Linked DNA regions of Saccharomyces cerevisiae S288C. Changing the gene in region 1 together with any one later gene gives a genetic interaction. Each region holds a gene or a part of one and is shown in the gene's direction. Other genes may lie near its edges.

The links.
Region 2: mutations in RPL6B (region 1) and TCM62 together harm fitness less than expected from each alone (positive genetic interaction), as found in Saccharomyces cerevisiae (one large-scale study listed by BioGRID).
Region 3: mutations in RPL6B (region 1) and YOR385W together harm fitness less than expected from each alone (positive genetic interaction), as found in Saccharomyces cerevisiae (one large-scale study listed by BioGRID).
Region 4: mutations in RPL6B (region 1) and COX20 together harm fitness more than expected from each alone (negative genetic interaction), as found in Saccharomyces cerevisiae (one large-scale study listed by BioGRID).

Annotation. Positions count from the first base shown.
Region 1 is NC_001144.5:1,027,351-1,032,114, forward strand, and holds RPL6B (60S ribosomal protein eL6 RPL6B), read left to right. Parts: upstream 1-1,503; coding exon 1,504-1,518; intron 1,519-1,902; coding exon 1,903-2,418; downstream 2,419-4,764. Other genes in the region: VMA6 (H(+)-transporting V0 sector ATPase subunit d), read right to left, coding at 1-543; peptidylprolyl isomerase FPR4, read left to right, coding at 3,484-4,662.
Region 2 is NC_001134.8:321,761-330,439, reverse strand, and holds TCM62 (Tcm62p), read left to right. Parts: upstream 1-4,380; coding exon 4,381-6,099; downstream 6,100-8,679. Other genes in the region: protein phosphatase regulator GIP1, read left to right, coding at 348-2,267; QDR3 (Qdr3p), read left to right, coding at 6,495-8,564. UniProt on the Saccharomyces cerevisiae protein: Chaperone. Required for the assembly of succinate dehydrogenase subunits. Ensures mitochondrial gene expression at elevated temperatures and prevents heat-aggregation of the ribosomal subunit VAR1.
Region 3 is NC_001147.6:1,060,725-1,068,657, forward strand, and holds YOR385W (uncharacterized protein), read left to right. Parts: upstream 1-4,318; coding exon 4,319-5,191; downstream 5,192-7,933. Other genes in the region: FIT3 (Fit3p), read right to left, coding at 1-331; FRE5 (putative ferric-chelate reductase), read left to right, coding at 840-2,924; deoxyribodipyrimidine photo-lyase PHR1, read left to right, coding at 6,115-7,812.
Region 4 is NC_001136.10:921,368-929,071, reverse strand, and holds COX20 (Cox20p), read left to right. Parts: upstream 1-2,161; coding exon 2,162-2,779; downstream 2,780-7,704. Other genes in the region: HEM1 (5-aminolevulinate synthase), read right to left, coding at 1-1,620; IVY1 (Ivy1p), read right to left, coding at 2,926-4,287; PCF11 (Pcf11p), read left to right, coding at 5,266-7,146; chromatin-silencing protein SIR4, read right to left, coding at 7,425-7,704. UniProt on the Saccharomyces cerevisiae protein: Involved in the assembly of the cytochrome oxidase complex. Required for the maturation and subsequent assembly of the mitochondrially encoded COX2, the precursor of subunit 2 of cytochrome oxidase.

The DNA of each region.
Region 1 (4,764 bases):
TCTAATAATTTCAATGTTCATATCGTCTAGCTCCTCTGCCGTGTCAAAACAGTTTTTGAAGTAAGGTGCCAGTGGGGTATCCACCAATACGGTTTCGTATAGGGATTCAAGATCAGTAGCAACACTCAACGTAGGCAAAGTATCAAACCAACCTAGCGGATGACAACGTTGTAAAATTTCACCCTTATCACGATCATGAATAGTACCTGTAATCATCAATGCTACATTGTCGATCATGTAACCATAAGTGATATAGTCCATGAACTTTCTCGTGGATCCACTGGATTGGTCTCTTATGTAGTTGAATTCGTGGTACAACTTGCTAGAAGCATATTCTTGAATCAATGACGTGGTCAAAGACTCTGAGGAAACAGAGGAAAGAAAATTACCATAATCAGTTGATGATAATTGTAATTTTAGATCTTCCAACGTGTCACATTGTGTTAAGTTGATGTATTGGTTATTAGATAACAACCCATTTCTGTAGCCTCTCACTACACCTTCAATAAACCCATTGTCAATATTGAAATACACGCCTTCCATCTTCGCAAGACTTTAGCAACACGATCCGAATGGTATACTCTTTTGCTAGCTCTTAGCGTTCTTTATGCCATACCTTAAAGGGTTAAGAGGTCAATTGTTCTTTTGTTTTTGCAGTATATCGAAGATATTTTAAAAATACGTCACTTTGTACGCAGATATCAGCGTAACAATAGGTGCGCGGAAATTACTTAGTTCCATAATACAAGAATCTGCTGACTTTGCGTCTGTAAGATAAGAAGGGTACGGCCCAGAGTATGAATCGTTGGGGGATGAAATCACTTTTTCATCTTCCTACAATTCATTTTGTCCTTGAAATACATAATAACAAAATATTAATGAAACTTGCATGTTACCAAATAACTTGAACTTCAGCACTTCTATTTGTATACCAGTATCACAGCATTCAGCAAATTTGATTATCTCTCATGCTTCATGTCCTACCTTTTTTCCTTCTTTCTTCCTTGTCTTAATCTGAAAGTTACTAATAATAATAAAGACAAAATATCACCCATGCACCAAAATGTATGGGTCATAATTTTTTTTCTTGCCTTCAAAAATCGTTGTTAGCTGCAAAATGGCGGTGAAACACATAGTTGTGGTTATGCGTCCCCTCCGGGCGGCCGCAGATGGAGGATGCCCCCATGTGCTGATTCTCCCCGTAGGCGGCGAGTAATATCCTCGCCTAACCTGGACTTGCCGTGCTAAGTCGGCCTTCTAGGCTGCGCTTCCGTTCAGCATCGTTTACGGTAGAGGGAGCACATGGGCGGAAACAAACCTCATTCTGGTCCTGTGCTTGCCCATTTGCACTGTATAGAGTGTGTGAGTTTCAATTAATGTTGTAGGCGCGAGGCCCTGTAATATGGCAGTTGATCAAAAGTCAATAGATAATTTTCAAGCAAAATCTCATTTAGGTTTGACTACTTTCTTGAACTTGGAAGAGAAGCAAATATATTCAACGAAATGACTGCCCAACAAGTATGTGTAAAGATGAGTAAATTGAAGGATGTGATGGTTATGGAGATGGCACACGTGCCTAGAGGAAAATAGTTACCCAAGAACAAAAGCAGGAAGGGAGCTAACCTTTTAAATATGAACTGGACAAAACTGGACAAAATGAAAATAACGATTTTAGTAAAAATGAAAATATAGCATCAAATGACTGAGAAACATAGTAACAATAACTCATATTATAGCTAATCTGAGTAAACTTCTTCCTACGCTAAGAATTTTTTTGAGGATAGTACCAAACCTTGTGCTGAATCAGCACACGCCATGCCCACCATCAATTGTGCAAGAAAAAAGTAAACGAGTAGTATACTAACTATATATGTGATTTACATCACGATATGTCAATTATAGGCCCCAAAGTGGTATCCTTCCGAAGACGTTGCTGCCCCAAAGAAAACCAGAAAGGCTGTTCGCCCACAAAAGTTGCGTGCCTCTCTAGTTCCAGGCACTGTTTTGATCTTGCTAGCTGGCCGTTTCAGAGGTAAGAGAGTTGTCTACTTGAAACATCTAGAAGACAACACTCTATTGGTCACTGGTCCATTCAAGGTCAATGGTGTTCCATTGAGAAGAGTCAACGCTCGTTATGTCATTGCTACCTCTACCAAAGTCTCCGTGGAAGGTGTCAACGTTGAAAAATTCAACGTTGAATACTTTGCCAAGGAAAAATTGACCAAGAAGGAAAAGAAGGAAGCTAACTTGTTCCCAGAACAACAAACTAAGGAAATCAAGACTGAACGTGTTGAAGATCAAAAGGTTGTTGACAAGGCTTTGTTGGCTGAAATCAAGAAGACCCCATTGTTGAAGCAATATTTGTCCGCTTCTTTCTCTTTGAAGAACGGTGACAAGCCACACCTATTGAAATTCTAAATTGAACTGAAAAAATTATAAATGATTTAAAATAGAATTTCAAAACAAGGAGAATTGATAGAGAATGCGTTGATCTGAAAATACTGTTTGACAATAACGGAAAGGTAAGTGGATATGTAATCTAAGTTTAATCCTCTTCTAATTCATTTTTCCTATCAACATTATCTGTGCTTTTCTATATCCTTCTTTTTGTATCTATAATTTTTTTTTTCTCTTACATAGCAAAATACAAAAAATCATAAATATTAATATCTAAGGGTTCAAGATCAGGTCATCGCCGTTCTGGGCCACTAGGCTATATCTATTCATTTACATTGGAAGCTGCATGGTCTACTCCAACCGCACTGAGGCAAAGTCTCTGTGGAGGAAATGCTGTCCTAGCGAGCCATTGCAATAGGTATAATCAGAGTCGTCCTCCCAATGTGTTAACTTCTCTCAAAACCACCATATAAATTCTGTAACCTGCCAGCGATAATGTTATATATGTAAAAGGTAAACATACAACCCAATTTGTCCATACTAAGTGGATGCTGGGGAAGCAACTACAGTGCAGATGCTAAAGTTTGCTGCGGCAAATAATCTCAACATTTTTGTGATTAAACCTGCCTCAGTGGGGTGTATGATTAGTGCGTTGATATTTAATACACGCGTAAAAGTTAAGTCTGTTGTACGTTTTATTTCGAGTGACGAAAGAACTACGAATAACTTCCTGCATACTGTTGCCTTTTTCTGTATTTACGTATACTTTTATATCAAATAGCTTGGCCAAAAGAAAGTAGCATTGTGTATCAAGTCATAATTCTAATTCTTAGTTTAACTTCAGCAAAAATAATATTCTTCGTCAGACATTCTCATACAATCATTAACCCATATGAACGTTAAATTTCTCAATTTCTTGCCTTCGATGCCCTATGTATATTTTTATCTCAAACCCGAGGCAGTGAAAATTTTAGCTGGTGCATCGAAAAGAGAAGGGCATTGAAAATTTTACAGTGTTAAAAGAAGTGCTTTTCATGTTAGAATGATAAGAAAAAAGAAAAAGACAACAAAATATACGTCTCTACCATGTCTGATATGCTTCCATTGGCTACGTATAGCCTGAATGTTGAACCATACTCCCCAACCCCAGCTCTGAACTTCAAAATTCCGGTTACCATTAGAATCACAATGGCGGCCATCGACCCTGAGCCCTTTGACGATGACAAAAAGCCATCTACTTTAAGAATAATCAAAAGGAATCCTGAACTCACTCGCGGTGAGTACTACAACCAAGATAACAATGACGGCCTCGAAGAGGATGAAAGTGAAAGTGAACAAGAAGCAGATGTACCAAAAAGGAGTGTCAAATCAAAAAAAGGTAAGGCAGTCGAGCAAAGTGAATCAGAAGACTCTGAAGATGAAAACGAAATCGACGATGAATTCGAAGAATGCGTTCTTTTAACCTTATCTCCAAAAGGCCAATATCAACAAGCTTTGGATATTACCATTGCACCAGAGGAAGACGTTCAATTCGTCGTTACCGGTTCATACACTATCTCTCTAACCGGTAACTACGTCAAACATCCATTCGACAATTCTTCAGATTCAGACGAAGATGAAGAAGACTATTACAGTGACGAAGAATCTTCCAATGGAGAAGAAGAAGAAGAAGAAGAAGAAGAGGACGATGAGGAACTAAGTTCCGGTGATGACGATCTTGATGATTTAGTAGATGCTAGTGACATCGAAAGTCGTCTTGATGAATTAGTCAAAAAGGACGAAAAGAAGAAAAACAACAAGAAGGACAGTAAAAGGAAACATGAGGAAGATGAGGAAGAAAGTGCTAAACCTGCCGAGAAAAAACAAACGACCAAGAAAGACAAGAAAGCAGAGAAAGTTAAAGACTCGGAAGAGAGCAAACCAAAGCCAAAGACGAAGCTACTGGAAGGCGGTATTATCATTGAAGACCGCGTCACAGGAAAAGGCCCACATGCCAAAAAGGGTACCAGAGTTGGAATGAGATATGTTGGTAAGTTGAAGAACGGGAAAGTTTTTGACAAGAATACAAAGGGTAAGCCTTTTGTTTTTAAGTTGGGCCAAGGCGAAGTAATTAAAGGATGGGACATCGGTGTTGCTGGTATGGCGGTCGGTGGTGAGCGTAGAATTGTCATTCCTGCTCCATATGCCTACGGTAAACAAGCTTTGCCCGGTATTCCTGCTAACTCTGAATTGACATTTGATGTTAAATTGGTCTCCATGAAATAGGGTCCTTAATGCATACGTATTGATATATGTATCTATAATACTATATACAATTATCTATACTTCCATTACTAATATTATCTTTCAATTTTACATGTTTTTTTC
Region 2 (8,679 bases), on another chromosome or scaffold:
TTTTAATCTTCTTAGATTAACTAGGAATTATGACAGGTTTTTTATTTTTCTATTTTTCTGAAGGGCTACATAAACTGGTCCGACGCAAAATTTGTTAAGTGTGACACTGTAAAAATCGGGGACTTCTTCGACAAAAAAGTGCAACAAAAATAAAATAAATACATATTAACAAAACCATTCGAATAAAAATTTATTTGTACTTTCCTTTCTCCCTGATTTTATTTGAAAAATAGATAATTAAGCATAGCTATTTTCTTCCTCCTTGCCTATTCGTTTGGTGGCTTTCTTTATAATTCGAATCAGTTCGCAAATTTTTTGGTGAAGAGCTATTCAATTATTAGCTAATTATGGAAACTATTTTGCAGCCAAAGGCTAGACCATTTGAGTCTTTGAAAAGAAAACGTTTTAGAGAATGGTTGAGGCCGTCGACTGCGCATGGATCCCTGTTGCATTCTGATACATTAGATTTGCGTGACTTTGCAAAACCTAATCCCGCTGACACATTTTCTAATCTTGATTCTGGTCATTGTCCTTTGGTCACAACTCCAATAAAATATGAGTGCCCAGATGGAAAGAGTTCTTTTTTCCGAGGAGACACTAAATTTGAAACCCTGTTCAGTAATAGAAAATTCTATGAGTTCAAAGATAATTTGAAAAGGGGATTGAAGAAAATACGTCATGGGAGAAACGGACATCAAAGCGAAAAGAGATGTCCAGTTGTTGAAGAAACAAAAAAGTCTGTGTCAGATAATCTGGACAAACCAGACAATAATACGCCCTGTTTCGACAGATTCCACACAAATTCGAAAGAATTTGAAACGCAATTTGATCATTCAAATAGGAGCCAAAATTCCGAGAAGGCTTATCTAGACAATGAATCCTGTTGGAACCTAAGTGAGAAATTTATTCCTTTTAATAATTTAAAATATGAAGATTTGAAACATTTTGAAGAGAATTTGCAAAGCTTAGCGCCTGCAACTTTTACTCCAATTGAATCAAATGAATCGCTTGATAGGTCAGATTCGACACGTGGCACAAAACGAAGCATTCGCAATGATTCCAGTGATACAACATCTGAAAAGAGGCTATGCTTAAAACAATACTCAGATGAACCTGAATCGGATCATTCGATGGAAAGTACACCATCCATTTACATTACCAAAGAAGTTCAAGAAAGAATTGAAGCATTAAGCTCCACGGATTCGTTTTTAATTGAAAAAGTAGATTTTCCCTCTAACAAAATTGGTTCCAGTGCCTCCGATTATGAAAGTGATAACGAATACAGAAATATGGATGAGGATTCAATAAACGATGTTACCACTGAGAAAGAGGGAAATGTGGTCATACCAGACTCTAATACTAGCACGGTGGACGCAATGGAAAAACCAATTGAAGTGAGCTCGGCCTTAAAAGATGATACATTGGATAAAGACATAGATGATGCGAGCAGTAGCTATTCGGATGATGTAGAGACCACATTCGAGCCAGTTGAATCTGAGGAACTTTCCGATTTATCTGATACAAGCTCAAGTGGAAGTAGTAAAATTTATACTATCCCCACATTTCGCGGCCTTACTAATAGGACCAATATATCACAAATTCTTTCAAAAGTTGGTAAAGCTGATTTAAGCCAAGATAACTTAACGCATTTGATCAAAAGTCATCAAAAAAAGAAAAGATGCGTGAATTTTAGAAATAAAAGATTCTATGATGCTTTCAATCCATATGTTGATAACGAAGAAGATGCAGAGTTATCTGACAGCGAAAACATTTCAGAAATGGATACAGATCTTTGTATAAAGGATCGGAGTACCTCAAGTGTTAGGTTTGATGAAAACTCACGTCTTTTAATCTACAAAAAATCTAAAAAGTTAAACAAAGATGAGACTCAAAGTGGTTATTCGACTACTGAAATGAGGTCAATTCTAAAGACAAAGATGAATTCACAGCATGATGAGGAGTCTCAGAGAGCTTCGAAGTGTGACACAGTAGGTGTAGCCCAATTTTTACATTATTTTCAATATACAGAGTATAAAAGGCAGAGAAATGAAGCAGAAAATTATAGACTGAGAGGAGAGCAACTAAGCAAGTACTATTCTGAAGAATATCCTTTGGATTTTGCGGCTGTTGAATGCGAAGATTCCGTTAATGATAAATCTGATATCATACTTAGTATGAGAGCTACGGAAAGAAACATTGGTAGGCAACTGAAAGGTATAAGTAGTCAAGGGGCACAAATTATATCGCTTGATGAGGATGTTTTTTGAGCGAAAAAACAACACTTAACTGCCAATACTCTGTAAAATTGTTTTCACTTTACATCAATACATTATCTACGTGATTATACATATAGTTATGCATTTGTAGCTAAGAGGGAATCAACTACTGATAGTTAGTATTCAGTGAATAACATAAAAAAGCATTAGCATACAAAGATAATACGCCTGTGCAATTTTTTGCCTATCAAATGCGCCTTTCTAGACAAGATATTTGGTTGAATATGGGTCAGCTATCTTCTATCTGTCGTTACCATATCAGTTTAAGACTACATTGTTAATATTGCTGGAATAGGATTATAAGCGGCGTTGGAATCGACCGCACAAACTACTTGGCTATTTATATATGATTCAAAATTCAGCACCTGATTTAGTAAAGGCAGAACTTTGACGATTGGTAATGTGTTAGAAAAATGTTCTGCAATGTTATATAGAATACGGCTTTCTTTATGTGAATTTTGATATATTGGTGGATTTTGTCATAATTTTTGGGATTTCGTTGTTGTTAAGGTTATAACATTAGGAATAGAGAATATGATAAAGGTTCTTCCCCAGGATACAAAAATTTACAAAAGAGATTGATACTTTTACGTAATAAGGCTACTATTTCTTTCTCCATTTTATATATTGTCACCCATTGTCCTACTATATTTTATTTCAGCTTCCCAAACATCTGATGACTGTTTTTCAATCTTTATATCATCTTTTTTACACTGTATATGATAACATATAATAATATGACTACTGGTAGACAGATGAAGGTTGATTTTGAGATATTGGTGAATTTTGAGGTAATTCTTGGGGTTTTTATTGATTAAGGCTATAATATTATGTATGCAGAATATACTAGAAGTTCTCCTCGAGGATATAGGAATCCTCGAATGGAATCGATACTTCTACATAATAATATTACGATTATTCCTCATTCCGTTTTAAATGTTTCATTATCATATTACATTATCAATCTTTGCATTTCAGCTTCCTTTAACTTCAATGGCAGTTTTTTCATAGCTTATGTCATCATCTAACATCGTATATGATAATACCAGTAGTATAACTATAGTTGATGGACGATAGTTGATTTCCATTCCAACAGATTCTTATTCCAACAACTTTAATATTATCTTCTTGATGTAGTTGCACATAATATAGAAATACTTCGTAGGGAATTAGCATCCCCTCAACTTACAAAACATTCATTGAATTTACCAGTTATAGGGCATGCGTAATGCTTTTAGATGAGATATCCAATGTATACAACTAACCGATATCCAAAAATGACATAGTATCGAGTTCCGGGTCCAATGGTCCAGTGGTTCAAGACGTCGCCTTTACACGGCGAAGATCCCGAGTTCGAACCTCGGTTGGATCAAACTCTTTATTTTTTTAAATTTGCTACTTTAGGTTCGTAGAAAGTCTCTAGGAATGAAATTATATCTTCTGCGTTCGAAAAGAGTAGCTTTAGTTGAAGAAGTTTTGATTTGAAGTGCATTAATGTCTTCCGCTATCTGTGGGAGTGAAGGCATCATTAGAGATAGATCTCAGTGATACCTAATAATACAAGAAGTAGAAATAAAAAATGTGCCCCTAAAAGTACTACCAAGGTATCCGAATTGATTCCTTACGCAGACCTCCCCTATCACAAAATTGAGATGAGGAAGTAGCCAACCTGGTCCTATAAACGTTTAAGGGCAATACGACCGAGTTTTCATTTATTCATTTATATGAATTGCTCTGTCGTGTTTCTCTCTCGGTTCCAGCAGTAAATTTAATGAATCCCCCAAACATTACGGAGCATTCATTACAGATCGGTGGCACCGTTGTATGGATGTATTGCCTTTTTGGAACAATACATCTACTTGCCGAACGTTATGTTTTAGATGGGTCCGCTTTTAATAGTTTAGGTAATTCTTATAGGATTGAAAATCTCGGTAACTAAAATCCGTTATGGCTTAAAAAAATGTAAAAAATAAAGGCCCTTTCTTCCATTCCCTGTGAAACAAAAGTTTCGATAGTGCGATAGTTTACCTTTTACGAGCTTTAACCTGGCGTTATTTTCTCCCACACTACTGTAAACATAAAACTCTCTTATGCTTTAACGAGTATGCTGAGGAATTGTTTGAGGAAATTGGGAAATCATCAAACGAAATGTTCGGTAAAAACGTTACACACCCCAATCTATAGAACAAAAAACCTTCAGGTTCTCAGAGATACGCTCTCTGGTATTAAGCTGTTGGAAAAAATAATAACTTCATCCTCCTACAATAAAACATTGATATATGAACCTAAGTATAAATCCAAGCCACAGGTCGTTAGTTCTCATGATACCATGAGACTTCACAATGTAATGCGTGAGTTACTAGATTCCCTACAAGTAGATGAAGCTACCAACACACGACTTCAATCAAACAGGCCTCGAAAGCTGGGGAGGGTTGGTCTACAATTATTCATGGATTGCATTCAGGACAACTTAACAGCAACTTCAACATCTTTGACATGCTCTTTACTGGAGCACTATTTCAAGTATCCCGAAAAAGAAGTGACCAATGGGATCAAGGCCGGATTACGATATATCAGAGATTTTCTTGCGAAGAACAAGATTATAGTGAAAAGTCAAAACGATGTTGATGCTCTGGTCGAGCAATTGACTATGTCCTCCTCAGACAGCCAAAGCATCAAAAGGGTTTTGAAAGCCATTAATTATGAATTGTTTTCGGATGACATTGTGCGGGTCATAAACGGCAACAAAACTTACGATGAGGTTGATGTATCCAAGGGTTGGAAATATCCAGCTGGTATTTTAGATAGTAATGAAGCCTATTTAAGGTCCCTGGAGTTGCCTACTAAGAAATTAGTTTCCATTGATAAAGATATGCTAGTTCTTATGTATGATGGGACGTTACGAGACGCTAATAAAATTCTACCCACGATAACGTATGCAAGAAAGTTGAGAAAATCTGTTCTCTTAATCGTTAACGGAGATTGCACAGGTGATGCATTAACATCCGTTACAATTAACAATAACAGAAACAAGAGAGAAAATAATGAAAGCCGAATAGTGGTTTTGAAGTACTCTAAAAAGGCGAACAATGACTTAGCGCCACAGGAGAATCTTGATTTTATAAAGTTCTTACGGTTGCCTTGCGGATATGACAGCATCTACTCACCAGAATATAGTCCTTTAGTGCCAAGCAAAATGTGTGCGGATAAATATTACGGCAGTATCGAATCCATAAAAGCGACCACAGGGGAGGCATTCTTATATAACTCCATTGATGCTGAAGCGATTCCAAATAAAGTTCCGAAATCCTTCCTCCAAAATACGGTCACTTTAAGCATTGGTGGACATAACGAAATCGAAATCGACAGAAGAAGAAATGCAATAGATAATTGCTTAAATAACGTCCTATGTCATGGGCTGGCCAAAGGTTTCATCCCAGGTTACGGCATCTCCCTACTGAAGGCAATTCCAGGTTTGAATGAACTGAAAGCAAATGAACCCAATTTCATGACTAAGGTAGGCATCAATGCTGTTTTATCAGCAGTTATTCTCCCATCAGAAGTGGCGTTTAAGAATGCATATGGGTACAACTATTATGAGATCAATAGCCTGATAGCAGGCGCTATAAACGAAAAATCGTTTCCAATGGCCAAGTTTTCTCCAAATTCAGAACCGGTGAACACAGTAAAGGATGGAAACTTGGAGCCATGGAGCAAAATGGATTCTTGTTTAGCCGGTGTAGAAACGTTCATTGAATTACTTACAAGCTGTAATACAATTATCACATGTGTATACAAAAAGCCTGAACGGCACAAAGCCTAGATAAAGCCCTTACATACTTTTAAATAGTCAGAATGAGTCATTGTAAATAGATATTGCCACGGCGCTGCCTTTTATCACTTTTACCTCTTCGTAAATATCTATTATTCCTGCTCAATTTCTCATATGCGGCTTCGGAAAAACTCGGGTTTTTCCACGCCTCAGCAGTAACTCCATCTACCTTTGGGGATTTGAACCATCTCATTCCAGTTTTGGATAACTGCGATTAGATTAAAATATTAAAAGATTATCGATTAGATAAGATAGAAACCAACAAAATTTGTTGTAATAGCTGTGTCCTTGTATCCTTAAAAGAAAACAGGGTTGAAGGCATATGTATTCACATCTTTCTAACTTGTTAACGTCTATGCTAGGACCGAAGTCAGAAAGCGATAAACATGCAAGCCCAAGGTTCACAATCGAATGTAGGGTCTTTGAGGAGTAATTGCTCTGACAATTCACTACCGAACAATCATGTTATGATGCACTGCGATGAAAGCAGCGGCAGCCCGCACAGCGAGCACAACGATTATAGTTACGAAAAGACCAATCTGGAAAGTACGGCATCAAATAGTCGTGAACACAGAGACAACCAGCTAAGTAGGTTGAAGAGTGAGGAATACGTTGTTCCAAAGAATCAACGTAGGGGACTATTGCCTCAACTCGCCATTATACCGGAGTTCAAGGATGCCAGAGATTATCCACCGATGATGAAAAAGATGATTGTCTTCTTGATTGCGTTTTCCTCCATGATGGGCCCCATGGGCACATCTATCATTTTTCCAGCGATCAACTCAATCACAACAGAATTTAAAACATCAGTGATTATGGTAAACGTTTCAATTGGTGTGTACCTTTTAAGTCTTGGTGTTTTCCCATTGTGGTGGTCTTCTCTATCCGAGCTAGAGGGCAGAAGAACTACTTACATAACTTCATTTGCATTATTGTTTGCATTTAATATCGGGTCTGCTCTAGCTCCTGATATCAACTCATTTATTGCCTTGAGAATGCTCTGTGGGGCTGCTTCTGCCAGTGTTCAAAGTGTAGGTGCTGGAACAGTGGCTGATTTATATATTAGCGAAGATAGAGGTAAAAATTTGAGTTATTACTATTTGGGTCCACTACTGGCGCCGCTACTATCTCCAATTTTTGGATCTTTGTTAGTGAATCGCTGGCCCTGGAGATCCACTCAATGGTTTATGGTTATTTTATCCGGATGTAATGTCATTCTTTTGACGGTGTTACTACCTGAAACATTAAGAAAACAAGATTCTAAAGGCGCTATCGCTCAAATTTTGGCTGAAAGACGTATTCAAGTAGACAATAACGAACGTGGAGAGATACAAGAAGATTATCAGAGGGGAGAAGATGAGACAGATCGAATTGAAAACCAAGTTGCCACATTATCTACTGAGAAGCATAACTACGTTGGAGAGGTAAGGGATCAAGACTCGCTAGATTTAGAAAGTCACTCTAGCCCCAATACTTATGATGGTCGAGCTGGAGAAACCCAATTGCAACGGATTTATACAGAGGCGAGTAGAAGTCTGTATGAATATCAGCTAGATGATAGCGGTATCGATGCAACAACAGCACAAGTTACGAGAATAAGATCAACAGATCCAAAGTTAGCGAGATCGATTCGAGAAAATAGTCTGAGAAAATTACAAACCAACCTGGAAGAGCAAGTCAAAAAAGTGCTATCCAGTAATGGAGGTGAAATCGCTCCTAAACAGGTATCAGCGGTGAGGAAGGTCTGGGACACCTTTTTTGTTTATTTTATCAAGCCTTTAAAATCATTGCACTTCCTAGAATATCCACCCGTGGCACTTGCAATAACATTTTCCGCAATTTCCTTTTCCACAGTATACTTTGTTAATATGACAGTTGAATATAAATATTCAAGGCCTCCTTACAACTTTAAACCATTATACATTGGTCTACTGTATATTCCGAATTCTGTAACATACTTTTTCGCCTCAATTTACGGTGGACGTTGGGTGGACATGCTTTTAAAAAGATACAAAGAGAAATATGGAATTCTTGCTCCTGAAGCTCGTATATCGTGGAATGTTGTTACATCTGTAATATCTTTCCCCATTGCGCTATTGATATTTGGCTGGTGCCTAGATAAAAAATGCCACTGGGTAACGCCACTAATTGGAACAGCCCTCTTTGGATATGCAGCTATGATGACAATTGGTGCTACCCTTTCCTATTTAGTCGATTCATTGCCGGGAAAGGGTGCCACCGGTGTTGCTTTGAATAATTTAATAAGGCAAATCTTGGCTGCAACCGCAGTCTTTGTCACCACACCCATGTTAAACGGTATGGGAACTGGGTGGGCTTTCACAATGCTGGCCTTTATCGTCTTGGGTGCTAGCAGTGTACTTATAATACTGAAAAAGCACGGTGATTACTGGAGAGAGAACTACGATTTACAAAAATTGTACGACAAAATTGATTAATCATATCGGTTAATAAGACGGAAGCGTAAATATTTTCATTGTAGACTTTTCATAGGGTGGCACATACATAGTTTACTTTAGTTTATGGTAAATCGTTATTGTGCTAAAAGTATTA
Region 3 (7,933 bases), on another chromosome or scaffold:
CAGTGATAGTGGTAGTGATACTAGAACCAGAACCTTCATCAGCAGAAGAAGTCTCAGCAGCAGAAGAAGTCTCAGCAGCAGAAGTGGTAGCGGCAGCAGAAGTGGTAGCGGCAGCAGAGGTTTCGGCGGCAGAAGTTTCGGCGGCAGAAGATTCAGCGGCAGAAGTGCTGCTGGCGTAAGAGTCTTCACCACCCCAAACAAAAGTAGCATCTTGGGTGACAGTCTTAGTGTAGACATGACCGTTCTTGGTGGCAGTGATGGTGGTGGTGATACTCTCAGCAAGAGCAGTAGCGGCAACAGCAGATAGAACCAAAGCGGAAGAGAATTTCATTTTAGGGATTATTGTTATTAGTTATTTTTAAGCGAGTGGAAGTACTTGTTTGTATCTGTTCGAACATTCATATTACCTCCTAATACTTCAAATAGTTCTTGGCTTAAATACCCCATAAATCAACTTTTACAAAAAAAAAAATAACAAATCTCGAACGATAATTGAACCCCATTTTTTTGCACCCTTTCCTAGAATGGCGGAACTCGGCTCTTGAGCCCTTAGATTGCTTTCCTTCACATACATCAAAAAATATGGGATAGCGGGGTGCGGAACAAACAGGGTGCAAAAAAAAATCTAGGACATAGGTAGGACTAAGAAGACTGTGGCATTACTACACAGCAATCATATTTTACCGCTTCCTCGTTTAATTGGATTTTTACTTTTCATTACATTAGCGATCATTAAAAAAGGAGCGTCAATTTTTTACTTGGCAAATGTGTAATGTAGCGTTTTCGGTATGTCACATCACCAATTTTGTCGCAGTTAATTTAATTCACCCAGATTTCGAATGCTTTTCGCTAGATTAGTGCTGCTGTTGGTGTATTTGGCACCAGGTTCTTTAGCAAAACCAGCATCAACTAAGAAAAGAACGCAATGGGACCAGATAGCAATTGATGCTTGTGCTAAAGAATTGGAATCACACAAATTTGACACGGATGTGAAGGGTCGGCACGCTACTCTTTGCACTTATGAACCAGCACTAGGGTCTTGGTTACATTGCGCGAAGGATGTTCTCGACAGTAGGAAGAAAAGTAAAAAAATATTCGAAAAAACGTTTAGCAAAATTAATCAGTATTGCCACGATTATCACAAAGATGAGGTCGTCAGCAATGAGGAGTATTATCGAATTTTTGCCAATGCATCCCTTTTCATCCGGCCTCTTGATGAGGTAAAGGAAAACATACGATATCCCGTCACTCCCAATAAAGCCTCTCTAGATAGGTGGGTATGGGCTTATTTTGGGCCCCTGGATAATATAGACAAAGGAAATGTTTATGGAGTGACGATTTGCTTATACTGGATAGGAGTTCTGTTTATTGCAGCTGTATATCACTTCTTGAACTTTTCTCGACTTAAACAAACGGTGTTCAAAAACAAGGTGTCTGCTTTCTTAAGAGGCCACTATGTTCTTCCAGCGCTTGTTCATAACCATGCTATGTCAGTGGGAAGGTGGTTTTTCATCGGTCTGGTCCCTACCAGGTTAGAGACCCTTGTCCTATTCGGTTACGTTTTGTTGCACGGGTTCTTGTTGAGTAGTTACAATTTTGACCATAATGAGTTGCTCAGTGATCGCAGAAGCCAAGTGCTTATCTTCCTTTCCGACAGGGCAGGGATCCTGGCATTCGCACATTTTCCTTTGATAGTTCTCTTTGGCGGTAAAAACAGCACAATGACTTGGCTCACAGGTATAAGATATACCGCATTCATTACTTACCACAAATGGTTAGGAAGATTCATGTTAGTAGACTGTACGATCCATGCAATAGGATACACCTACCATGCATACATAGAAAATTACTGGAAATACGTGAAGTATAGTGATCTATGGACATCCGGAAGACATGCCATGATCATTGTTGGAATACTTGTGTTTTTTTCGTTCTTCTTCTTTAGACGACATTATTACGAATTGTTTGTTATTACGCACATTATCTTAGCAATAGGATTTTTCCATGCGTGCTGGAAACATTGCTATAAACTTGGATGGGGTGAATGGATAATGGCGTGTGCACTGTTTTGGATTGCTGACCGTATTCTGCGGCTAATAAAGATTGCAATTTTTGGAATGCCATGGGCTAAATTGAAACTGTGTGGCGAGTCCATGATAGAAGTGAGAATCTCAAAAAGCTCCAAATGGTGGAAAGCAGAACCTGGCCAATATATATATCTGTACTTCTTAAGACCAAAAATATTCTGGCAATCACATCCATTCACGGTCATGGATTCTTTGGTTGAGGATGGTGAGTTGGTAGTTGTGATAACAGTGAAAAATGGGCTAACCAAAAAATTACAGGAATACCTTTTAGAGAGCGAAGGGTACACGGAAATGCGAGTACTAGCAGAAGGACCTTATGGACAAAGCACGCGAACACATTTGTTCGAAAGCCTCCTGTTTATTGCCGGAGGGGCGGGTGTTCCTGGACCTCTGTCGATGGCAATAAAGGCAGGTCGCCAGGTCAAAAGCAACGATTCTCATCAAATGATCAAATTTGTGTGGAGTGTACGTAACCTTGATCTCTTAGAAGTGTATCGCAAAGAGATAATGGTGCTAAAAGAGTTGAACATAGACACAAAAATTTACTTCACAGGAGAGCGAAAAGATGAATCGAACACGGAGGAGGGAGCAATTGCTAATATGAGCACGGAAGGCAGACTGCTGACGACATCGAAATCAGCGGAAATGATTACTGATTTTGGACGACCAAATATCGATGAGATAATTGAAGAAGCAGTAAGTGGTGCAAAATCTTTGTTGGTCACTTGTTGCGGGTCAGAGGGCTTTGTAGACAAGACACGAGAGTTGACGGCAAAAAGAGTTCTTGAACACGGTGACAAATGGATAGAATACGTGGAGGAATTCCAGAATTGGTAGCATTTCAATCCGCCCTATCAATGCTAACCTGTTACGAATACCAAAACCACAAAAACACGGACCTTGTTTAATTACTGTATGAAATAACTGTACTCCATTAATATTCAATGCATTTAGTCCTTAAAAATCAGCGGGAATCTAATAAGCCGGCGAAGGTACTACACCTCACCCTTACTGTTATTTAAAAATCCTATTTGTGGGGATTTGCAATTAGTTTTCATCGCCAAATAACAATCCTTCACTGCACACCACTACTTAAAAAAAGGGTACATTGCTAACATTCTTGGTATGAAAAATTGCAGTCATTTAGATTGAGTTGGCAAAAATACAAATTTAACGCATGAGTATAAAATCGCTATTCGCTTTATTATTATTTCCTCCCTGATTAATAAATATCGAAGGGTAATCAGGGTTACGGGAACAGTACTTATCGGAGGAATAATAAGCAGCACCCTTTAGAATGTGGATCGTTTCAATACAGTCGCATCTGACATATACAGCGCCACTGTCGTAAGTTGTCAATCACGAGAACATAATCTTGAAACACGGATGGCTACATAGAGTTACCTTTTTCATCATGATATGAATTGATACTTTAGGCATGATAGAAAACAAAAGTTTTGCATTACATCAGGGTATCCAATTGAAAATGTTCTAGCTATTCATTTACCTTCCCGAAAAGCATTCTTCGAAGCTGCAGTTCTTTCTGCCATTCATCTCAGAACTGTCTTCGTTGCAGAGTCAAAGTTGCCACTTTTCTTCATTTATTTGATATAGAAAATGCGCAATATACAATCTCTCATTGCAGGATTGATATCATTTTTCCGAGGGAGCGATATTCAACCAGGTTTTGCCAGTCAACGGTGAAGGGTAATACATCAGGTAGGTTGAAAATTAGGCGAGTGAATTAAGAACTTTCTTCCTTTATTACTCTCATTCAATGCCAGTTCGATGAAAATTAGCGGGCAACGATACGCAAATGTCTCGTAAATACTTACGTAATAAGTTATTATTTAATCAAACTTCAATTCGCAAACAAATGAAGGTTACACTGTACTTGCATCACTTACAGTGGGTTTGAAGTTTCTATGATAGTGGTATCTCGAATTACTGAGAAAATACTGATAGTGAGCTCTTGACGAAAACCTTTCTCCCCGATTATCGCCTATGGTGTATGTCATAAAGGCTTATAAAAGCGAGGCTTTTCATAGAAATATCACTTCATTGTCAGCAACAGGGGCTCATGTTCATTCGTAAGCCTCTTAATTTTTCAAAGGCATTGTACATAGAAACAGCGAAAAAACTGTAGCAGCCACTTTCACTGAGCTACTGTATATAAGGCGGGCAGTAGAAACCAAGACATAATAATTCAAAGAAGAAACAACCAATTAACAATGCGTGGTTTCAGTGGTCAACCATTGAGTGATGATGATAATTATAGAATTGAAAAGACTCAAAGGAACACAATTCCTGAACGTCTCCATTTTAGCAGAGAGAGAAATATGCCCATTGCAAGTATATTCGGGACTAGAGGATATTTTGTATTCTCAAGTGAGCAATCCTATGACAAATTCAAACAGACAAACTTTAATATCAGTACTCTAGATGCGGATGGTGTAGGTGTTCCTCTTTTTCATATTGTCCAAAGTTATAACGTTATTGGCAAAATTACTCGGAGCTCGCCGGATTTCTATATCTACAAGTACGTTTTACAAGGGGTGCAAGATCCGCCTTTATACTCTGATTGTAAAGTTATTTGTCAAGATAAAGTTTTTCGTTTATGCAAAATTTTATATTGTGAAATTTATGCTCATCAAGGATTTTTTGAAACTAAATACGATTTCTTCTATCCTTCTAAAACGCAGCCGGTCAAAAAATACCAAATAATCAAACAAAGTAATATGCGAGATCTATATTCCACTTTGGACGGTATGCGTTTTCGTTGGCATGTGAAATTCTACAGCGATCATTTTCGATTGATGTTCCTAGATGAGGACAGGCTCAATTACTCAAATAGTAACCAAAAGGAAAGGCAAAAACCAGATCAAGGAAAAAGTAAGGCTCCAGATTTCGTAATTGGCCATTATACAAGAACTTTTTCCGATATACTCCCTAGATCCACGTCAAAATGCTCCAATCTTATTATTGGAGAACACTCAAAGCCAGACTCTCTTGGTATCACGACCGTTCCTGATTTGACTCAGGAATTTGCCTGTCAGGGAGCTTTAATCCATTATCTGCTGCATATAGAACGAGAAAGAAAATAAAAAAAGAAACAGAAACAGAAATAGAAAATGGTGAAGTAGGATACAATCTAGTGGCTTATTACTCAAGGATTTTTTCGCAATCCGTCCAATCCGAAAAATATAACTTGACGTGTAACACCCAGAGGAACGTTATACAGGCAACTGAGGTCGAATGAAACGAGATTACTCTTTAGGTTCAATTGAGCAGGCATTTATCCGAGACATTACGACCTAGCCAAATGAGATACATACATATTAGCTAGAACTTCGCATCACATATTTTTTCAATTTTTTTTCAATACGCAATTATTGCCCATAATTAATCTGAGGTTTTCATACTTATTGGCAATAGTAAGATCAAGGTAACGTTGTTTTTGGTTTGACTTTATACAGGATTTATTCCTACGTAGTCAAGATTATGGTATATTTTGTGTGCATTTTAACACCGGCGCTAGTACCAACATCTTTTTACTGATTGTATTCATAGAGTATCCTTTTAATATTACTTAGCAAGTATTTTGTAACAAATCCAAGCATAATATAACAAGCTCCGTCAATTGAACCCACCTTTTTAACAATATGAGAAGATACAGCTGTTTTTTCTCGAAATTGTTATCTAGAAGTTTATGCAAAATCAAAACTCTATCCAGAATCATCATCGGAGCTTTTTGAAATCCATAAATCTTTCTATCCAATAAGCATATTAAAGAAGTTATTGATATGAAGATGACGCTTCATAATGCTAGCTACAACAATTACGTTTGATGACTGCGTATTCAATTATTTTTATCCCGAACTACATATCTCGCTTTTACTGGCGCCACTTTTCTTCCTCGTTTTTCGAGGAAGCAGTCAAATTAAACCTTAAGGGGTGAAAGTATGCTTACTTTGACACTTATTCCTCTTTACAATTCGTTTCACAGAACAGACAACCAGCACTGATAATGAAAAGAACGGTAATATCTTCCTCGAACGCATATGCTAGTAAGAGATCTCGGCTGGATATAGAACATGATTTTGAACAATACCACTCGTTGAACAAAAAATATTATCCAAGGCCAATTACTAGGACAGGCGCAAATCAATTCAATAATAAGTCTCGGGCTAAACCAATGGAGATTGTGGAAAAACTGCAAAAGAAGCAAAAAACGTCGTTTGAGAATGTTAGCACTGTCATGCACTGGTTTCGAAATGATCTACGTTTATATGATAATGTGGGACTGTACAAAAGTGTTGCGCTCTTCCAGCAATTGAGGCAAAAAAACGCAAAAGCCAAATTATATGCTGTTTATGTCATCAATGAAGATGATTGGAGAGCCCATATGGATAGCGGATGGAAATTGATGTTTATAATGGGGGCGTTAAAAAATTTGCAGCAGTCCTTAGCCGAATTACACATACCTCTTCTTCTGTGGGAATTCCACACTCCAAAAAGTACCTTATCTAATTCAAAAGAGTTCGTGGAGTTTTTCAAAGAAAAATGTATGAATGTAAGTTCAGGAACAGGTACGATAATCACTGCTAATATAGAATACCAAACAGATGAACTGTACCGTGATATTAGGCTGTTAGAAAATGAAGACCATAGATTGCAATTGAAATACTACCACGACTCTTGCATTGTTGCTCCTGGATTGATCACTACTGACAGAGGCACCAACTATTCTGTGTTTACTCCATGGTACAAAAAATGGGTGCTATATGTAAATAATTACAAAAAGAGTACCTCTGAAATTTGTCATTTGCATATAATCGAACCATTAAAGTACAACGAAACTTTTGAACTGAAGCCATTCCAATATTCATTACCGGATGAATTCCTTCAATATATACCTAAATCAAAATGGTGCTTGCCAGACGTTTCTGAAGAAGCAGCTTTATCCAGATTAAAAGATTTCCTCGGTACAAAAAGTTCTAAGTACAACAATGAAAAAGACATGCTATATTTGGGTGGAACCTCTGGGCTAAGTGTATATATAACTACTGGTAGGATAAGCACAAGACTTATAGTCAACCAGGCATTTCAATCATGCAACGGACAAATAATGTCAAAAGCACTGAAAGATAATTCGTCCACCCAAAATTTCATCAAAGAAGTTGCATGGAGAGATTTTTACAGACATTGTATGTGCAACTGGCCATATACCTCAATGGGAATGCCTTATCGATTGGACACTTTAGATATAAAATGGGAGAATAACCCTGTAGCATTTGAAAAGTGGTGTACTGGTAATACAGGCATTCCCATAGTCGATGCCATAATGAGAAAATTACTGTACACAGGCTATATTAATAACAGATCTAGAATGATCACAGCTTCTTTTCTTTCTAAAAACTTATTAATAGATTGGAGATGGGGGGAACGCTGGTTTATGAAACACTTGATAGACGGTGATTCGTCTTCAAATGTTGGTGGCTGGGGTTTTTGTTCTAGTACAGGAATTGATGCCCAACCATATTTTAGAGTTTTTAATATGGATATACAAGCAAAAAAATATGACCCACAAATGATATTCGTCAAACAATGGGTTCCCGAATTGATTTCTTCCGAAAATAAGCGTCCAGAAAACTATCCAAAACCTTTAGTTGATTTAAAGCATAGTAGGGAGCGTGCTTTGAAAGTTTATAAAGACGCAATGTGAGAATAACGTCTCCTGATTAAGCAGGTGTGCTTTAGTAGTTTTGCCGCTTTGCTTGATCACTGTTAGTATTTCGGCAAATTATATGGTATTGGTCGCCTTGCCAGGTTCTTTAGGAAGTTCA
Region 4 (7,704 bases), on another chromosome or scaffold:
TAGTTGTTTAACGATGGGGTCTCTAACATTAGGGTTCAAGTCGTCATTAGTTAAAGATAGTTGGCTTGATGTCCATAAGTTAGACTCTTCCACAAATCCGCTCTCTCCAACACCCAATAAGCCACCTTGGCTTTCCCAGTCTCTGACACGTGGTAACTGTAGCTCATTGAACACATCATCAACTGCATTGATTAAGATGTCAGATAAATCGTTGGTGTGACCTGGCGTTGGGGTAATTCTCAATCTTTCGGTACCGCGAGCAACCGTAGGGAAGTTGATAGCTTGTACGTAGATTTGATGCTTATTGATTAAGATGTCAGAAGCTTGCTTAGCCAAATCAGCATTACCAATCAACACTGGGACGATATGAGAAGGATTTGGAATAACTGGAATGCCCAACTCATGGAAAGCTTTCTTTACGTACATGGTATGTTTCTGTTGCGAGGTTCTTAGGTCGATGTGGCAACGTTGGTATCTAATTGCTGCGGTAGCGCCTGCCATAACTGAAGGTGGTAAAGTCGTGGTGAAAATGAAACCAGGTGCAAACGATCTGAACCAATCGATCAATTTCCTAGAGGCTGCGACGTAGCCACCTACGCTACCGAAAGACTTACCTAAAGTGCCGGTGATCATGTCGACACGGTCCATCACAGTCTTCGCGCCGCCCTTGTCATTGGTCTTTGGGGTAGCAATACCACTTGCACGGTGACTTTCAAAATCACAATGTTCTGCAACACCTGCACCGTGAGGGCCGTACAGGCCGACCGCATGTACTTCATCCAAGAAGGTCAAAGCACCGTATTTGTCGGCCAAGTCGCAAATTTTTTCTATGTCGGCCACTGAACCGGCCATAGAATATACTGATTCGAAAGCAATTAGTTTAGGAACGGATTTGGGGTATGACTGGAGCAGTTGTTCCAATTCGTTCAAGTCATTATGTTTGAAAATGTGTTTTTTTACGTTAGCATGCTTAATACCGACAATCATGGACGCATGGTTGAGTTCGTCGGAGAAAATCACCAAGTCCTTCATCTTTTGACCCAGTAGGGATAAGACGGCATCGTTGGCTACGTAACATGACGAAAAAACTAAGGCACCTTCCTTCTTGTGTAAAGTGGCCAATTCGGCTTCCAGATTCAAAGTGGGGATGTTATGGCCAGCAATGTTTCTTGTACCACCGGCACCACAACCATACTTGTCGATAGTTTTATGCATGGCGTCCAATACCTCAGGGTGCTTGGAAAGTGCTAAATAGTCGTTGGAACACCAAACGGTGACCTTGTCCGCCTCTCTCTGGCGATGAGCTAGGGGGAACTCCTTGGCCAATCGGTTGATATTGTTGAAATATCTGTACGATTTGTCAAGTCTTTTCTTCTGCAGTTCGGAATCTATCAGGCCTTCGTAATCGAAACCCGACTCCTGGGTGGAATGGTTGGCAGCAGCGGCTGCTGCTGCTGCTGCATGTGTTGATGACGCTGTGGCAGTGGCAGCAGCGGCACCAGCACCAGTAGCGGTGGCATAGCCATTTTTCGCATGTGGTGCGGCTGTCGTGGACAGCCTATTCAGTGTGGAAACAGCGGCAGAGGAGTTACCGAACCTCGCAAAAATGGAGCGTTGCATACTGAAAAAAAAACCTAAGTACTGTTATGATTATTGAGGGACAACAACTAGCTCTATTAGTTTTCCTTCCAACCAAACTTATATGGGCAATATATAGGAAAGAAAAAAGAAAAGAGTGGGATAAAAAAAAAAGAAACGCGAGCTGAGAAGGGAAGGCGTGTAAAGGAAGAACGGTTGAGAGACAGCAGAGCAGGGTGCAACACACAACCGAATAGAGTATCAGCTGACGGAATGGAGAAGTTTGGTATGATGCAAACGTTGTATTTCTAACAACGCATGGATCAGAACAATGGGCAAGGCAAGATGAAAAATTTCCGTTCCTGCTCTTTCTTCATATATGAACAATGACCAAAAAGCGCCCGCGGCCGCAGACCAATGAGCGACGAAGGCGGCCTTTCCGAGCGGTAGGGTAAGCCGTGCAGGCAAGCTTATTATAGCACCGTCGGGGGTACCACCACTATATCAAACTCCACTGCTCGGTAAAGCATTGTAGTGAAGTCCACAGCAGTGCGTAACGAGCAGCTCAACAGTTAATATAAAGATGCGTTGGTGGCCGTGGTCAAATCAGACAGAAGATCAAAAGCAGCAGCAACAACCGCAGGGTAAAGCAGATGGTGATCGCGTGCTGACAAATTACTCGCGGGGTCAAAAGATCCTCTTAGAAGACACTCCACCCAAGTTTGCCGATGACTTGTCCAATTCTCAGTTGGCCAAGAAGCAAGAACGGGCTACTTTGAAAGAGGCTTGGGACTCGATCAGATGGAGTGATTTTAGTTTGCAGAAGCTGACTTCAATCCCGTGCTTCAGAGACGCGGGCATGCTCGGGTTTTCCAGCATGTTCTTGATGGGATCTATTATATTTATATACCATAAGAGCCCGACTAAGGCCACGAATTGGGCGATGAGCTCTCTGATACTGGGCTCGATTGTCGGATGGGAGCAATGTAGGCTAAAGAGACAAAAAAGTTTCCAGATCGCACAATTGGCAAAGGAAACCGTGGCGAAAAAGGAAAAACCAATGCTCCATAATGTCCCTCATGACCCATCTCTGCCGGGGCAATGGGAGGCCGCCAAAAATGAAAAGCAGAGTCAGTTTGAACAAAGTAACCAGAATTTATCTCAGGCCTCCTCTGAGAAGAAATGGTACAAGTTCTGGTGAAAAGAACGAGGGGGAAACAGAAGGTAGAAGCAGGGCCTTTTAACCGTTTTCCTATGTATATATGCAACATTTCTCCGAAAATACTATAACTTCAATTGTTCACTTTCTCCATTTCTATATAAAAAGCATACATAGAGTTACAAATTTTATATATTACTTGACTGGTCTTGCATGCCGTCCGTATCGCTGCTGTGATTGTCATTATCTTCTTTAATGGACAATTGTTTAAACGTTTGTGTGGTTTCCTCGGCAGAGTTTCTCGTAGGCGGTAAAGAAAATGAATTTTCTGTTCCCATCAAATTGTCTGTATCCTCATCTTCGCCATTTTTGCCGCCGCCATTGTTTCGTACCCCGTCCTTGTTTGAACTTGACTGTGAATGATTCGGTGTGGATACCGTTGAGGACCCCTTGGATTTGGGTAAAGATGTTTTTGATGTGGAAGGTTGGCTGGTTCCTTCTAGTAGTTCATTGAGCACCACGTCATTCCCACCCGTTTCCTCATCGCTGTTGTATGCTTCTCCAGCAGTCTCTCCATCACCACCGATGGTCCCGTATGGCCCATCTGCTTTTTTGCTGAAGGGGTCGTCTGCATCACAAAGTAGTTCGTCTAGCCCGCCTCCAGACCAACCTTTCCTTGCAATATTTTCAGAAATTTCCACTTGTGCCCTAGATACCGTGGCAACTTTGCTGAGTACTTTGTTGCATGTATTTTCCACAAGTTCGTATGAATCCATGTAAAAATCGTGCTTTAGTGTCTCCAGTTGATCTAACCTTGCTTGCAAGCTAGAAAGGCTCTCTCGGTATGAGATTAAATTCCTTATTTTTCTTTTCGAGATATCGAAGTTATGTCTTTCCTGCAATTTCAATTTTAAACTTTGCTCTTTGCTTTGTGCTTTGAACTTGTTCTCCATTATCTTGGTCTGTAATTCGAATTCATCAATATCATCAATTAAATTATCTCCCAACAAGTCATTGAAATACTTTGACATTATAAGCTGATGATTAGATAAAAGGTAGAATAACCCACTGGCACTCAATAGTTTCTCCGCCGTTTCATCATTGCAACCCTTCAACTTGGCAATGTTTTCTAAGGAATGGGCAATTTCTGCCCCATTCTGAGATGTCTTTAATAACGAATCCGAATAAGCATTCGAGTTCCTGAGTAATGTCGATAGGGCTTCCTGGGTCTCTTTCACATCTCTCTTTGTGATTAGCGTTTGCAAGTCGTTTATTGTGCTCGTACCAGAAGTTATGCTCGATGCCCGACGGGCCTTTGAATACACTTTGGATGAACGTAAATGGTTCATGTCGTCCAGATGGTCGTTATTTTCTGAGCCAGCACTGCTAGCCACTGGTCTTTTACTATTTACAATTGGGTAAAATTCAGATAGATGAGGCGCGTATCTGTCGGGAGAGACGTCAAAATGGTTACCGTTGTCCCAGTCAACCCTCAGTCTCTGGTCACTTGAAGGAGATCCCTGCAATTGCTCCGTATTATTGTCAGGCATATCCGATTTCTCTTCCTGTTACTTTCTTTAACAATATTTTATTCCTTGGTGAAATTTAATTGACCCTTTATTCAGAATATATACTTCTATTGTATGGATATGGTTTTTTTCCACTTAATGTTTAGCATAAATTTCCATCTCACCCTTTTCTTGTAACATATCGCCCAATATTTTTTTCTTTTGCCCGCATTGACCATTTTTTCCTGTAAAACGAGTAATGTGAGCAGTAGAATAAGTGTATATCATCCGTTAAATAAGGCGCAATCTACCGAAGTTTGAGATCTAACTCAAGTTTTTATAAATTAGATACGTTTTTCCTTACTATTCTACATGAGATGGCCATTAGCATGAGATGACTTCAATACGCACTTCTGTTGGAACGCAGATAGGATGTTTACACTCGTCTGCTCTATTCTTTGTACTTTCAATAGAGCAAAGCAAGTGGTACCAATGAAGAGAAGGCCCAGCTGTTTTATTCCAGCGGCGAAGAAGTCTAGCCTATTCCTAATGTATTAGTACAGCTATACAGAACTTTCTCAGTCTAATTTTTGATGTACTTTTATACATAGATTTACACACTTTTCAAAACGTACTTACGTAGTCGGTTCAAGGGATACACCAATTTAGCCAATGAAGCTGGGCCCCAAGTGATCAGAGTTTCGTAATTGAGCTAGGATTTGCTGCTTTTTATTCCCTTTATCACCAAATGGTATTACCTAGTGCATCTAAGTTTTAGTTTACCCGGGCGAATTTTTTTTAAGGACTCGACGCATTGGATGAGAACTTGGCCTAAGGCATGGGAAGAAAGCGAAATTTCAAAAATTAATGAGACAATGTTGTTCTACTGTTAAGGGTTTAGTAGTTTAAAAGTCTCTCTTTCAATTTTGCATTGCAAAGAATTACCAGGACAATTTTCGGAGCAGTTAAGAAAACTGTACTTGAAAACACTAGGTCTATTTGTAATACTCTCTTTTCATTATGGATCACGACACAGAAGTTATAGTCAAGGATTTCAACAGTATTCTTGAAGAATTAACTTTTAACTCGAGACCCATTATTACCACTCTCACGAAGTTAGCAGAAGAAAACATTTCGTGTGCTCAATATTTTGTTGACGCCATTGAGAGTAGAATTGAAAAATGTATGCCTAAGCAGAAGCTATACGCTTTTTATGCCTTGGACTCCATTTGTAAGAATGTTGGCAGCCCATACACAATCTACTTCAGTAGAAATTTGTTTAACTTGTACAAAAGAACATACTTATTGGTGGACAACACCACAAGAACAAAACTCATCAATATGTTTAAGCTTTGGTTGAATCCTAATGACACCGGCCTGCCTCTGTTTGAAGGCTCAGCACTGGAGAAAATTGAACAGTTTTTAATAAAGGCCAGTGCTCTCCACCAGAAAAACCTGCAAGCAATGTTACCAACTCCGACTGTTCCCCTCCTATTAAGAGACATTGATAAATTAACTTGTTTAACTAGTGAAAGGCTAAAGAATCAACCAAATGATGAAAAATTAAAAATGAAACTGTTGGTTTTATCTCAGTTGAAACAAGAACTGAAAAGAGAAAAACTAACTCTCAATGCTCTGAAACAAGTTCAAATGCAACTAAGGCAGGTCTTCTCACAGGACCAACAAGTTTTGCAGGAAAGAATGAGGTATCACGAACTTCAGCAGCAACAGCAACAACAGCAGCAACAGCAACAACAACAACAGCAGCAGCAGCAGCAGTATCACGAAACTAAGGATATGGTCGGTTCTTACACACAAAACTCTAATTCAGCGATTCCATTGTTTGGAAATAATTCAGATACAACGAACCAACAGAATTCTTTATCTTCCTCTCTTTTTGGTAATATTTCTGGCGTTGAATCTTTTCAAGAAATTGAGAAAAAAAAGTCCCTAAACAAAATCAATAACCTCTATGCATCTCTTAAGGCTGAAGGGCTCATATATACTCCACCAAAAGAATCCATCGTAACGCTTTATAAAAAGCTAAATGGACACTCAAACTACTCTCTTGATTCACACGAAAAACAATTGATGAAGAACCTGCCAAAGATACCCTTATTAAATGATATTCTTTCTGACTGCAAAGCTTATTTTGCCACGGTTAACATCGACGTTTTGAATAACCCATCCCTGCAGCTGTCCGAACAAACTCTTCTTCAAGAAAATCCCATCGTCCAAAATAATCTTATTCACTTATTATACCGATCCAAGCCAAATAAATGTAGCGTGTGTGGTAAGAGATTTGGCAACTCAGAAAGTGAAAAACTACTACAAAATGAGCATTTGGACTGGCATTTCAGAATAAATACAAGAATTAAGGGATCACAAAACACAGCAAATACAGGCATAAGCAACTCTAACTTAAATACAACTACCACAAGGAAAAATATTCAATCAAGAAACTGGTATTTGAGTGACTCTCAATGGGCAGCCTTCAAAGATGATGAAATTACCTCCACAAAGCATAAAAATGATTATACTGATCCGCATGCCAATAAAAATATCGATAAAAGTGCCCTAAATATTCACGCTGATGAAAATGACGAAGGCTCTGTAGACAACACTTTAGGAAGTGATAGAAGTAACGAGTTGGAAATACGGGGAAAATATGTTGTTGTACCAGAAACTTCACAAGATATGGCCTTCAAATGTCCAATTTGTAAGGAAACCGTTACTGGCGTTTATGATGAAGAATCTGGTGAATGGGTTTGGAAAAATACTATTGAAGTGAATGGCAAATATTTCCACTCGACATGTTATCATGAAACGTCGCAAAATTCAAGCAAATCTAATAGTGGCAAGGTCGGTTTGGATGACTTAAAGAAATTGGTCACAAAATAAGAGCAGAACTGCATATATACATTTAAATTTAATAACTATATATTATATTAAATTCTTTGTTCTTGGTATTTGATGGGTTGCTCATTTGTTTATTTTTTTTTTTTTTTTTTTTGCTTATGTGTCCATTATATTATATGTAATTTTACATATGTAGCCAAAAGCCCAACTAATCATTAAAATCGATTAAAGACCGTAAAGTAAATTGTTCATTATAGAAGAAAACGACAAAGAAAAACAGGGTACACTTCGTTACTGGTCTTTTGTAGAATGATAAAAAGTCAATACGGTTTTATCTCCTTATTCACTTGAAAATCTTTTTCCATCAATTTGTTAATTTTAGCATCTTTTTCAGATATTTGACTTCTCGCATTTTCAAGACATTTCTTTGTAAAAGTTAAATCACCTTGAAGTGAAGTTATTCTAATTTCATTCCTCATAACTTCATCTGACAAAGACCGAATAATTTCATTTGCAACAGCCAATTGTTTTTCCTTTTCATCCAGCGCCGATGCTGCTTTCGACAAAACGATATCCACAAAGGAAAGACCATCTTCTTTC